Linked DNA regions of Drosophila melanogaster. The protein of the gene in region 3 interacts with the protein of the main gene of each other region in a pairwise test. Each region holds a gene or a part of one and is shown on either strand. Other genes may lie near its edges. The genes, in order: Drep2, Clc and CG14718.

Region 1 (3,754 bases), on a different chromosome or scaffold from region 3:
CTTTGTTGTTGCCTCTCCCACTCCCTCGCTCTAAGAGGCGCTCCCGTGTTGTTTTTGTTGTTATTGCCGCTGAGCAAATGGCAGACCCTCTAAGCGGGTGCCGCTGGTGATAACATGTCGTAATGGCCAGAGAGGTAAGTGCAAACGTGCTAAAAGCAAAGCAAAGCCGGCAACTACGGCTTAACCGTTTTAGTTTTCCCGATCACCACGGTACCGCAAGTTACTTTGCCAAAATCAGCTGTTCTCACTTCATCACCATCCCCCATCATTCACATCTGCAACCAACGGTGTTAGCCTCTCCCAACATTAAAACAGTTAACCCTATGTCATATTTTTCCAAAGAAGTTTAACCCAACACTACAACTTAATAATAAAAATGCTGCGTGTAACAAATAATTATTCTCTGTAGGAATGAATTTTTTAATTAAGCAGTAGAAACAAAATAATCAAAAATAATACTAGGTAATAGATTTTTTTTAATAACATGCAATTTGAACAAAGTAAAATTTATAATATATTTTAATATTTCTTTGACTTGGTCTTTGTAGATATTTTGTTCTTTACGTGGTCAGCTGAACGAAAGATAGGTTCTTTATAGAGCAACACAACAGGATGCATGAATAAATCAACTTCTAGAGAAGATTAGGCAAATTTTTATTTTGCTGCTTGAGTATGGGTGCAATGGATACGATTCATGCCTGGCCTAAACTACAGGCACTCTGCTCCATCTATGTGAATTTTTCATATGACAACCTTTGGCGAGTGTATCTAGCAAGGCGTATCGCTGCGGATGCTCCGCACTCGCGTCCGCATCCGCTAGAGAAACCTATTAAGCCTGTGGCCCGCATTAGTCTCTTTGTGTGCGTGTCCCTCAAGCTCCTGCTCTGCATATGTGTGTGTGTTTGTGCATGTTTTATGCAGTTCCTTCGTTTCGTTTTGCTTTGCGGGTGAGTGAATAGCTTTGACCCAAATAACTGAGGTAATACTTACGCCTCACAGATGTGCCACTCCCCCAACGCCCTCCTTTCCCGCCGCCTCCATCCCACGTGTGGCTGCAACTGTTGTTCTTCTTCCTCTTCTCGCGCCCCCTTTGAAAGGAATTTCGCTCTCTGGCCTTTCCAAAATTGTTGCTTTGAGAGGATGTCTCCAAAAATAAATTAGTTGCGAATTCCCAAAGCGCTGGAATTCCTTTAAGAGCTGATAAAAATGCAGCCGAGATGGCTTTCAGTTGGCAGTTGATCTGGCATTATTTAGGATAAACAAAACAACTTTATCTCTCCTTCTTCTTACTGCAATTAAAAATCTCGGCCAGCAGCAATTACAGGAGTTTTAGTGCTCTGTTATCCATTCACATTTACAGCTGGCAATGCTTTTGCGAGAGGTAGAGAGCTTCATATAAAAGTGCATCACTCTCTCTCTGTCTCACCCTTTTTATTAAAAGACTTCAATGTTTAATGCTAGAGTTTAAATGTCGAGCAAGATCAGGTCTAAAAGAAAGCTAAATATTTTCCTGGGGCACACAATCCAATAGCAACACTATTAATTGAACGCCGTTGATTGGAAGTAAATGTTTACAAAATCAAACTGATGGGATCTTATGAAATGCTGGTAAAGCGTTTCGAGGGAGAAGGTGCGCGCGCTTTGGCGTCCTGATTATATCACATTGATGCAAATGTAGGCCAAAGCACGACGAAATATCTTTACCTGTTAAAACATCGAAAATTATGGAAAAAAAGGTAGTAAATGGGAAATAGTGGGGTGGATAAAACAAATACGGTTTAATTGGGGACCTAAAAACTGAAGGCATTAAATTGACTAGATAGTAGTAACGGGATTTCTACCCCCACTCCTCCACCTGTCCTACTCGCTCTCGCAAAGCTTTGTGCTGCATTTCACCTCGTTCTCACTGCACTTCTCTCGCGCTTATGCCTCGTGCTCATTTCAAGCGCTGTTAACGCGCTGCAAAAACGCACCCAGCCCCAAAAGTCAAAGAAGAAGCAGCAGCAGAAGCAGCAGCTGCTACCGTAGTGAAATCCGATGCAGCATCTCGTCGGGAAAACTCACAGTTTGCTCTGCCAGGCTGCCAGGCACACAGGCAGCTAAGGACGCTGCTTTGGCCCGTGGAAACACCACGTTCCCACTGGGTGCTATAACTAAACAAATCAAGCGTTTTTCTACAAAATCAAGTTTCTAAAAACGAGCTATAATTAAGTCTAATAACTGGGACTCAGCATCAAATGAAAATGAAAACTCGGCGGTTTCACGGGCAAAAGGGCGCTGCAGGCGCGTAGTATCCGTAAAGTGAAAGTGCGAAGGTCAACCCGCCCTGACCTGCCCCAAAAATACGAATGCGAATGCGAATGCGAAGTACGAGCAGTGAAAAGCGAAATTCTAGGCACTTCAACTCTGCCAGTATTTACAACAAACTAAAGTAACCAAATAACGTGGACGATAACATTTATACCAGAAGCTGTATTTTGTGCAAAGTGCGTTTTTTTTTTCGTGACCCCCTTAACAATTTTTGTAATTACGAATTTTCCCCCTGAACGCAAGGCATTTATGACTCCAACAATAAGCAATAAGCTTTAATTTTTGTAGAACTTTTGGTAAAAGCATCCGCAACTCCGGATTTTGTAAGGCGTACATCGGTTACGGGTTTATATAACGGATTTTTAAAACGGACATGGATTACCAGAGCTTGGAGCTCCAAGTGTAAGACGACCTTGGAAGCGACGAGGCCAACCATTGCAAGCAAGCCAGCAGAGCCAGCGCAGAGACTCGGCCTAAAAGTGGCTGGCAGCAGCAGCACCACCAACAGCACCACCAGCACCACCATGTGGTCCAACGCCCTGTGCACGCTGGGCGTGACGAAGCCGCTCTGCAACTGTCTGAGCATCAGACAAGTGGCAGCCGCAGCTGCGGCGGCGGCCCAGGCCACGCAGGGCGTAGCTGCCTCTGCCGCGGCGGCGGGTGGGGCCGGAGTGGGTGGTGGGGCCATCACAACGGGGCCCTCGTCGTCGGTCACAAACGGCGGACTGTCCGCAATGGTAATAGTTTCGCTTTGCGACCCATACTTATTCAGTGTTTAGCTTTCATCGACTGCAAATGTCCTTCATTTCTAGATCAAACTCAATCTATTCCGTCCTTTATCCAGTTTGGTTTCCAATTCCACCTCCAATTCTAAATACCTCCTCAAATGCATTTCACACTGGTTAATCGAATAGCTTGTTGGGCAATACTGCTCAATAACTAGTTTAATGGTTTTTGGAAATTCATTTGAAATTATTCAACCTGTTGGTGGTTGGTTTGCCTCTTTTCTTGCATGAAATGAAATATCTTACTATTTTACTTAGGGAAGATAAAGCATCACCTTTAGCGTATGTTATACATTTTCTTTAGGTACTATTACCCACTTGTTTTCTAAAGTTTCCCCTTTTTTTAAAGCTAAGTCACACAATCTTAAAGTGCTACGATATTCAACCAGTTCTCCAACAATTGTTTTACGGCATAATATGATTTATCGAGCCTTAGAACTGGCAGTGCTCGCTGTTTATAGTATTATCAGTTTCATAATTTATAATAGCCAGCACATCCCCGACCCGCTGCACTCCCTCGGTGCCATATGGTGCTGGGGTGCAGCAACTGACCTATCCCAAGAGGAAAATCGGTGCGATGGTTTGGATGGAGAGGGATGAGGCGGCGAGTAGAGCACACAAAACACTGGCCAGAGCGAGGGAAATGAAATATTTTTATG
Region 2 (3,754 bases), on a different chromosome or scaffold from region 3:
AGCTGCTGGCGGATTCCCCCCGATTCATTGACAATTGGGCACTACGCACCTCTCCTTTGATTCGGTTAGGACTAATTGAAGATCGGTGTGGGCGGATGACTAACCGGAAACTTGGTCAAATGTATTTTTTCAGTTTTCTTTTAGCAATGAATACGTAAAATGACTGTCATTAGTACGTGAACCAACCATAAAACAGCGGGCTATCGAACTGGTTCCAGCCGAACAGTGCTGGATAATGCAACATATATCGCAACGCGATGGTTTTAAATTTAATGTTATGATTTTTATATTAAAAAATAAATATTTTTTTACACCAGTTATTATGCCAAATCTTTTAAATGTATACAAATTAGTAATATTTAAGGAACAGAAACCATTGTTAACTATTTTACTTGTCAAAGCCGAATTCAACATTCCTTAACATCACGGATAACGAGTTAAAGATTTAGCTACATTTTGTATTATTAAGCTACAAGTTTATGATAATGTATGTTGAAAAAACCAAAGTAAGAACATTTAATTTTTCCTTAACTAAACTTTTAAATTATATCAGCAGCGTCAATTTTCCACTGGGTTTCTGGTCAATTAGTGTTGCAAAATGTGTAATGGTGGTGGCTTGATTCGTTCATATATAATTTAGAACCGTACATATAGTTAATAAAACCTAGATTTAATATAATATTTAAGTTTGGAATTATTTTATTTTTTTTTTTGTTTTCAGATTTTGTAAAGTTCTCATGGTTTTTGAAATCAACTAGTTCCAATTGATCAGTGTTAGGAAACGCGCGAGTTCAGTAAACACAACCTTCAGAGGAGTTACGATTAATTTGTTTATATCTTATCAAATGTGCCTTAATAAATGCTCGTAAAATGTAAATACACAACAAAGTTAACTAGTAATGACTGTAGACCCGATAAAAAGCGTATTATACAACACTTGTTGCTATTGCATAGCACATGGGAATATAATTGCTGGTCAAATTTCACGGTGAATTGTTCACACAACATGACTTAATTATGTTTTTGACTAACCTATGCCACGAAGAACACAAGACGCAGTATACTTTTTGAGGAAATTAACAAAGACGAAATGCGAGGACGACGGCAAAACAAACAATAAACACTCGGCGCGCGAACTAGTGAACCGATGAACAAGTTCACCGTGGCATCATTCACCTGAGCCAGTGGTTCGTTTTTCACTGGCAGCAGAGCGGCCATTTTGGAGATTGTTTCATCCACAAAAAAGTTATGCACCGAATCTAAAAAAAAGAACGTTCGCTGTTAGTTAAACATAAAATCCGCTCGTGCATATTGAAGCGTTGTTGTGCTGGCCGATCCGATGTGAAGATAATGCTGGGCCCGAGCAGACCGACAGTTCCGATTCTATAACGACTAAAAGTTAGTGACTATCTTCCAACACGCACGCATGTACGCCCGTGTGTGTGAGTATGTGTGTGTGTGTGTGTGATTGTGTGCATGGATACATATATGTACAAGCGGAAAATACGGGAAAAAATCCTATTCCCAGGCAGAAAAACATTGCCAAAAACAGCATAAATCCCAGCCAATGTGATGGCCCCGTCATTGTAATGTCATAAGTGAGCACCCACATTAACCCATTGACGCTGAAACTTCAAAAATGCGGTCTCCTTGCCGCCGAGCGCCAAGGCAAAAAATACAGACGCCAATTTTTTTGAAGGGGGAACCAAGCGCATCGTGGCCAAAAGGGATACAAAAAAAATGAAGATACGAAAAAAATAGGGGGATCCCTTCAGTGCAGAAAAGTTGGGGAACAAACACCCCAAAACTGGAGTGTTTCATTCTAAAGTGTACTTCTACTATGTGTTTATTGATTTACAATAAAAGATAAACAAAATATGTTTGACCACATATAAATATCAATAATTTTATAGTAATTATTATTGATCCATAAATAACATTAATTGAATTCGCGCCTTTTTCCCCTCTATATTATGAATGCCATGGCAAGCAACTTGTGATAACAATATAAATATGTTATAATCTAAGCTACCGCTAAATTGATAAATATGGGCGGGATTTTTAGACTTAACACATGACCATTGGAAATGTATCCGAGCAATAATAAACTCCAATTAGTTAATCCTTTACATATAAGCCGCTAATTATATTCAAAAACCACTAAAGTTTTGCTATTTGTTTCAGTTACCAGCCATCAGCAGTAGAAGAGCCCAAGCCAAACATGGATCCCAATTCCAGTCCCTGGTCATACGCCTACAACCGCATCGTGCCCGCCAGTGCCGGAAGCTCCGGCGGAACAGCAGAGGACTTCCAGCATCCACACCTGGCCACCATTACGGCAGCAAGCATCGCCAGCTTTAATGCGGCGGCCGCCAGTGGTGGCAGCTTTGTGCCTCCGTCACCGATTGGCAGCTACAACCCAGTATTCCAGCAGATCTACCACCATGCGGCGGCGGCCAGTGTCCAGCCTAAGCCCGCCCACTATGCCTCGTCAGCGGTGAGCACGCCGCACCGCCAGCTGCAGCTGCCCAGTTCGCTGGACAAGCAGCTCAGTTCGTTCCAGAACCAGGCGGCCGTGTCGGCGGCAGCGGCTGCTGTAGTCAACAATGTTGCCTCGAACTATTACGGGGAGAACTCCTCGTCGAGTGGAGCCTCACCATCGCCCACAACGGTGGCCCTGACGTCGACGTCGCTGACCTGGAACACGCCGAACATGATATCGAACACCTTCCTGGCCATGCAACAGCAGCAGGCACAGCAGCAACAGCAGCAGGCACAACAGCAGCAACAACAGGCCCAACAGCAACAGCAGCAGGCGCAACAGCAACAGCTAAACCTGGTGGCCGACAAAGTGGTGAGTAGAATTCGTTTGTTTTACGTTCGGCTTTCAGATCACTCTTCTATTATGGTTTACGCCAGCTTCTGGGGAAGCACACACACTTATTAAAACCCCGCAGGCTCTATCGCATTTATCGCATACTAACATAACATCCCTTCCAATAAACCCATCAAAGCATAGACTAAGTCTAGCCTCTCTATGTCGAATCAATCCCAAACCAAACACTTTCCGATTCCGATTCAATCTATGTACGGTGCGCTGTAGCAGATTAAGCAGGAAAAGCAATTAAAAGCCTACAACGACTCGATTTACCTGATCCAACTGCAACAGCAGCAGCAGCAACAACAGACAGCGGCGCAGCAGCAACAGCAGCAGCTCCACCAGCAACTGCAACAGGAGATCGCCGAGGCAGACACAGAACCGGACACCTATTACACCATTGATGGCCGGAAGGTCAAGGTGACGCGGAAGGATGGCCAGCCGTATCGGGCAACGATAGTAGACCAACAGGATGCCAGTCCGGTGCCGCTGGCAGTGCCAGTTCCGGCGGGATCCTATCCGGTGCAATATGCCAGTCCGGCGCTAAGCTCCGCAGATGGATCGCCCATCACGAATTTACATGCGGTGGACGTGGTCAGCACACCGCAGGCCCAGGTGATCGTCTACAAGACGGCATCCCCTGTGCAAAGGCGGCAAGAAGCGGGCGCTGGATCGTCTGCTGCTGCCACACCCACCACGGTGGCCTACTCATCTGTGATACAAAGCACCCTGCAGCAACAGCAGCAGCAGCAGAACCTCTGCTGGACGAAGCTGGAGGACAATGGAGCGGGGCAGGAGGACATTAAGAACGTGCTGCAGCTGCAGGTGAAACAGGAACATCGGCAGCTCGATTTTGCCAGTGAGGCATCCTCAGTG
Region 3 (3,754 bases):
AGAAGATTAATTTTATTAAACAATTTAGACTTCATTGAATATAATATTTCGATTTACAGTGCAGTTCCGCAGAGCCAATGAGCCACTGAGCCACTGACTGCACGCGTCGGGAAAGTAAATAAATTCATTAAACGTTTAGAGCTGGCCAGGTGGGTCCGGTTGCCTTTTGTGCCTGGGTAAAATATTCAGTTACCCGGATTAAGTGGATTACCATTCAGCAAGTTGCATTGTCCCGCAATCTGAGGATCTCTGCTCTGGGGACAAAGACTGGTTCGGCGGGTATATGGTGGCGGCATTGCATTCAAACGCCTTTTTCTAAGACGGGCATTAACAGGAATTTAGGTGTCTTTTGTTCTTGGCTCTTGCTGTTCTTGGATGGGGCTCACAAGCTCATGGGCATCGCATCGAATCGATTCAATTCAATTGAAGTTGCATCTGGATATCACGACGCAGTTCGCGTTCCAATCACTTGAAATTTTTAGAAGTCCGGAAGGAGCAGGATGCAGAAGGCAGAAGTGTCCTTCGTACAAAAAGATGCGGATACACAAAACAGATAACACGTATAGATACAGACACAGACACAGACAGAACGAGGTGGACTGGACTGTTTCTACTCTGCAATGGGCGGATTCAGAACCAGCTCCCAGGTATCTTCCTCCGTCGACTCGGAGCTCTTCATTTCATCGGAACGCAGGGCGTGGCAACGATTGCACTTCGCTCGGTACCAGAAATTCATATTATAGCAAATCTTGCACAGCCAGTCGTTCCTGTATGGCCGCCAACGACGAGGGGCACCGTCCTCTTCGCGTGATCCCGCCCAGGAACTTCCCTCGTTATTCTGAGGAGCGACCACCTTGTCCGCCTGGCATCTGTTGCAGCTGGAACGCCAGACGAAGTTGCTGTTCCGGCAGAGCATGCACACCCAATTGTCGATGGCTGGCTTCCATTTCATTGCCCGCTGGCGACGTTGGTGCTCCGGCGCATTAAGCTCTCGCGGATAACTGTACCGGACACTGCCCCTCCGGGTGGATAGGTAGGCGGGCAGAACGGTGATCACCTGTCCCATGAACTTGGCCCCACTCAGACAACTAATCGCCGCCTGTGCAGAGAATGGACTCACATAGGTTATAGTGGCCTCACCCTTGGAGCGCCCCGTTATCTTGTTCTTGTAGACGAAGATCTTCGGCTTGTTGGTCGACTCGTCCATCTTGATAACGCCCACTTTGCCGAAGAACAGGATGATGTCGTTCTTGGTCACATTGAGGCGCATGCCCAGCACGAAGACAGTTTCCGCCTGGATCACGTACTGCTCCTGACCGATGCTTATATAGGGCCTATGCCGCGGGAGCGCCAGGCGGGGCATGTAGTCGGCGGCGGTGCGCGGGAACACCATGTAGGATGTGTTGCCACCCATGCAGGGTAACAGCGGCGGCCTCTGCTCGCCATTAACCTCCTCTGCAAGCTCCTCCATTTCCCCCATTTCCCCTATATCTCCATTCAGCTCTTCCCGCTCCAGCGTCTCACATTGGTTCATCTGAAGATCCCGTTCCGCCTCCTGCTCTGTGTCAATGCTCACGGACTCGCCTGAACTCGCCATCGGGCATGAGGACGACGTGCTGGCCACCAACTGCTGGTCCGCCTCTGCACCACAGAAGTGGTCATCCTCTTGGACCAGAAGCAAGGAACCGCTGGCATCGCCGCTTCCATCCTCGTAGCGGTAGAGATCACTGTACATGCCTCTGGGACTCAAACCGGAAGCGGCACTCGCCTGGGGAATGGGGGCTGGTGCAAAATTAAATCCCAATCCAGAACCCAATGTGGTTCCGACGATGTAGTTGGCATGGAACATCTGTTGCTGAGTCTGCAGCTGTGGCTGTGGCTGCTGGGTGTCCGAGTAATTTGGAGCGTAAAAAGAATTCGTATACACTACGCTGGCTGACGTGCTATCCATGGTTGGTAAAAAATATACGTAAAACTCCTCGTTGTGTGGCCTTTACTGCTGATCAAACACGAACCGATTCCTTTAAAAACTACTGAAATCTTTGATAACATCCAGACACTAGGAGTATAAAAATGAACTGAGTTCCGGATCTAAGTTTCTTTGATAGATTGTGTTGTAGCCTACTTGGCAGCCATATTTTTCCAATTCAATCAAATGGCAAGCCAATTTAATTTCATTACTTTTGACTCGAAAAAATGTTGGTGATGTGTTTATCCACATCAAAACAATATAATCCGAAGTATTAATAATATCATTGCTGCACACAAAAACCAACATATCAACCGTTTGTTGCCAATGAATATATTTAAAATAAAATCGACAGCGGCAGGATTAATTTAATTCAATAATGTGGAATTTACTGAGTGAAAATGTATTAATAGCCAAAGTAAAAATGCAATATGGACATCGAAATGGCTGGCACTTTTACGTCCACACCTTTCAAGGGATTTGACCTGGTTTTTCCATCCGTAGTCCATAGTTAAAAGCGCGAAGAACTATGCAAATTTCCGTGATTGGCGGCTAAAACTCTGGATGCCACTTTCGCAGCTCACTGATGACTTTGCACTTCGCTTGTCGTCGTCTTCGGAAAATTGATTCATAATTTCTGCACATTTTCACTTTAATCAGCAAACTTTGATTACATTTTCGCAGCGTGAGATGGCGCAGAAAAGTACCTGATATCAATTTAAAAGCTTCGAGTAGAACTCCCATAGGAATCTGAAACTTAAGTTCATATTTTTCGAAGACAAGACTCATCCATGGCCGGGCCAATCACGATGAATCAAGATGACTGGTACTCATCAAGCCAATTAGCTGCCAATTACCCCACTAATGAGCGACCACATTAACCCCACAAAGGATCCCGAATTGGAGGGCAGTCAAGAATAATGTCCTGCCAACGGAGCGTGGACTCTGAAGACATGTTTATTAATATCCCGAACCCGAACTCAAGGCCGGCCACCCTGATAAACGAAAGTGCCACGTTTGTCGCCAGCTCGGTTCGGGGGAAAAAAAAAGGAAACAACATTTTCACCAGCAATTGGCTTTTATGGCCGCCGCCTCTTTACGACCAAGTCCGCTGACCTTATCATCAGATTCCGGGTTCTCGGATCCGGTGTCCTGTACGGAAGCTCCTGTTTCATTAGCAGCCCCCGCTGCTGTGGTGTCCATTTCCAAGAAAGGAGGAGGGTCAGCATCTTCAACAGCAGCAGCTTTACTTCAGAGCGGCAAAGTTTTGCTTTAACCCGTCAAATATTTCCCCCGTTGAAATGAAGTAATGAAGCTGGGAACCGCCGACACGAAATTAAAAATCAACTGTCTTGAAGGGAAAACAACAGCGAAATGGAAACTGTTGCCGGGGAAAAGTTCCTATTCCGTTGGTGGAAAACTTTTTGTGCGCTCATAAAAATCGAGACAGGGCAAATTGTCTTCCAGTATAATTGCACAAAAGTTTGACTTTGAAGCTCGTCCGTAATTGAAAAGACAAAAGCGCAGCAAAGCAATTGGCCCGGAATATAAGCTGGTATATGTATGACTACGCTGCGTTCGGTTATTCTATGGTGTGGCCAAAAGGGATGACTCTTCATCAGCATCTCTCGGTGCACACGCACTGTGTGCAGCATTCATGTTGTCTTTCCTTCCATTTGCAGCAAAGGCGAAGTAGGAACAGCTAATGAATTGGCTGCCTGCTGGAGCAGAGTAAACACGCAGCACAGCTCAGCTCAGCTCAGCTCAGCAATCTACCTGAATAAA

Evidence for each region.
Region 1: the proteins of CG14718 (region 3) and Drep2 interact in a two-hybrid assay, tested with the Drosophila melanogaster proteins (one large-scale study listed by BioGRID).
Region 2: the proteins of CG14718 (region 3) and Clc interact in a two-hybrid assay, tested with the Drosophila melanogaster proteins (one large-scale study listed by BioGRID).

Annotation. Positions count from the first base shown.
Region 1 is NT_033778.4:9,292,736-9,296,489, forward strand, and holds the start of Drep2 (DNA fragmentation factor-related protein 2), read left to right. Parts: upstream 1-2,059; 5' UTR 2,060-2,834; coding exon 2,835-3,047; intron 3,048-3,754.
Region 2 is NT_037436.4:20,238,963-20,242,716, reverse strand, and holds the start of Clc (clathrin light chain), read right to left. Parts: upstream 1,665-3,754; 5' UTR 1,611-1,664; intron 1,599-1,610; exon of another isoform or gene 1,177-1,598; intron 1,155-1,176; exon of another isoform or gene 1,033-1,154; intron 873-1,032; exon of another isoform or gene 814-872; intron 212-813; exon of another isoform or gene 1-211. Other genes in the region: CG17233 (uncharacterized protein), read left to right, coding at 2,222-2,854, 3,104-3,754. UniProt on the Drosophila melanogaster protein: Clathrin is the major protein of the polyhedral coat of coated pits and vesicles.
Region 3 is NT_033777.3:11,698,943-11,702,696, reverse strand, and holds the start of CG14718 (uncharacterized protein), read right to left. Parts: upstream 2,084-3,754; 5' UTR 1,952-2,083; coding exon 611-1,951; 3' UTR 1-610.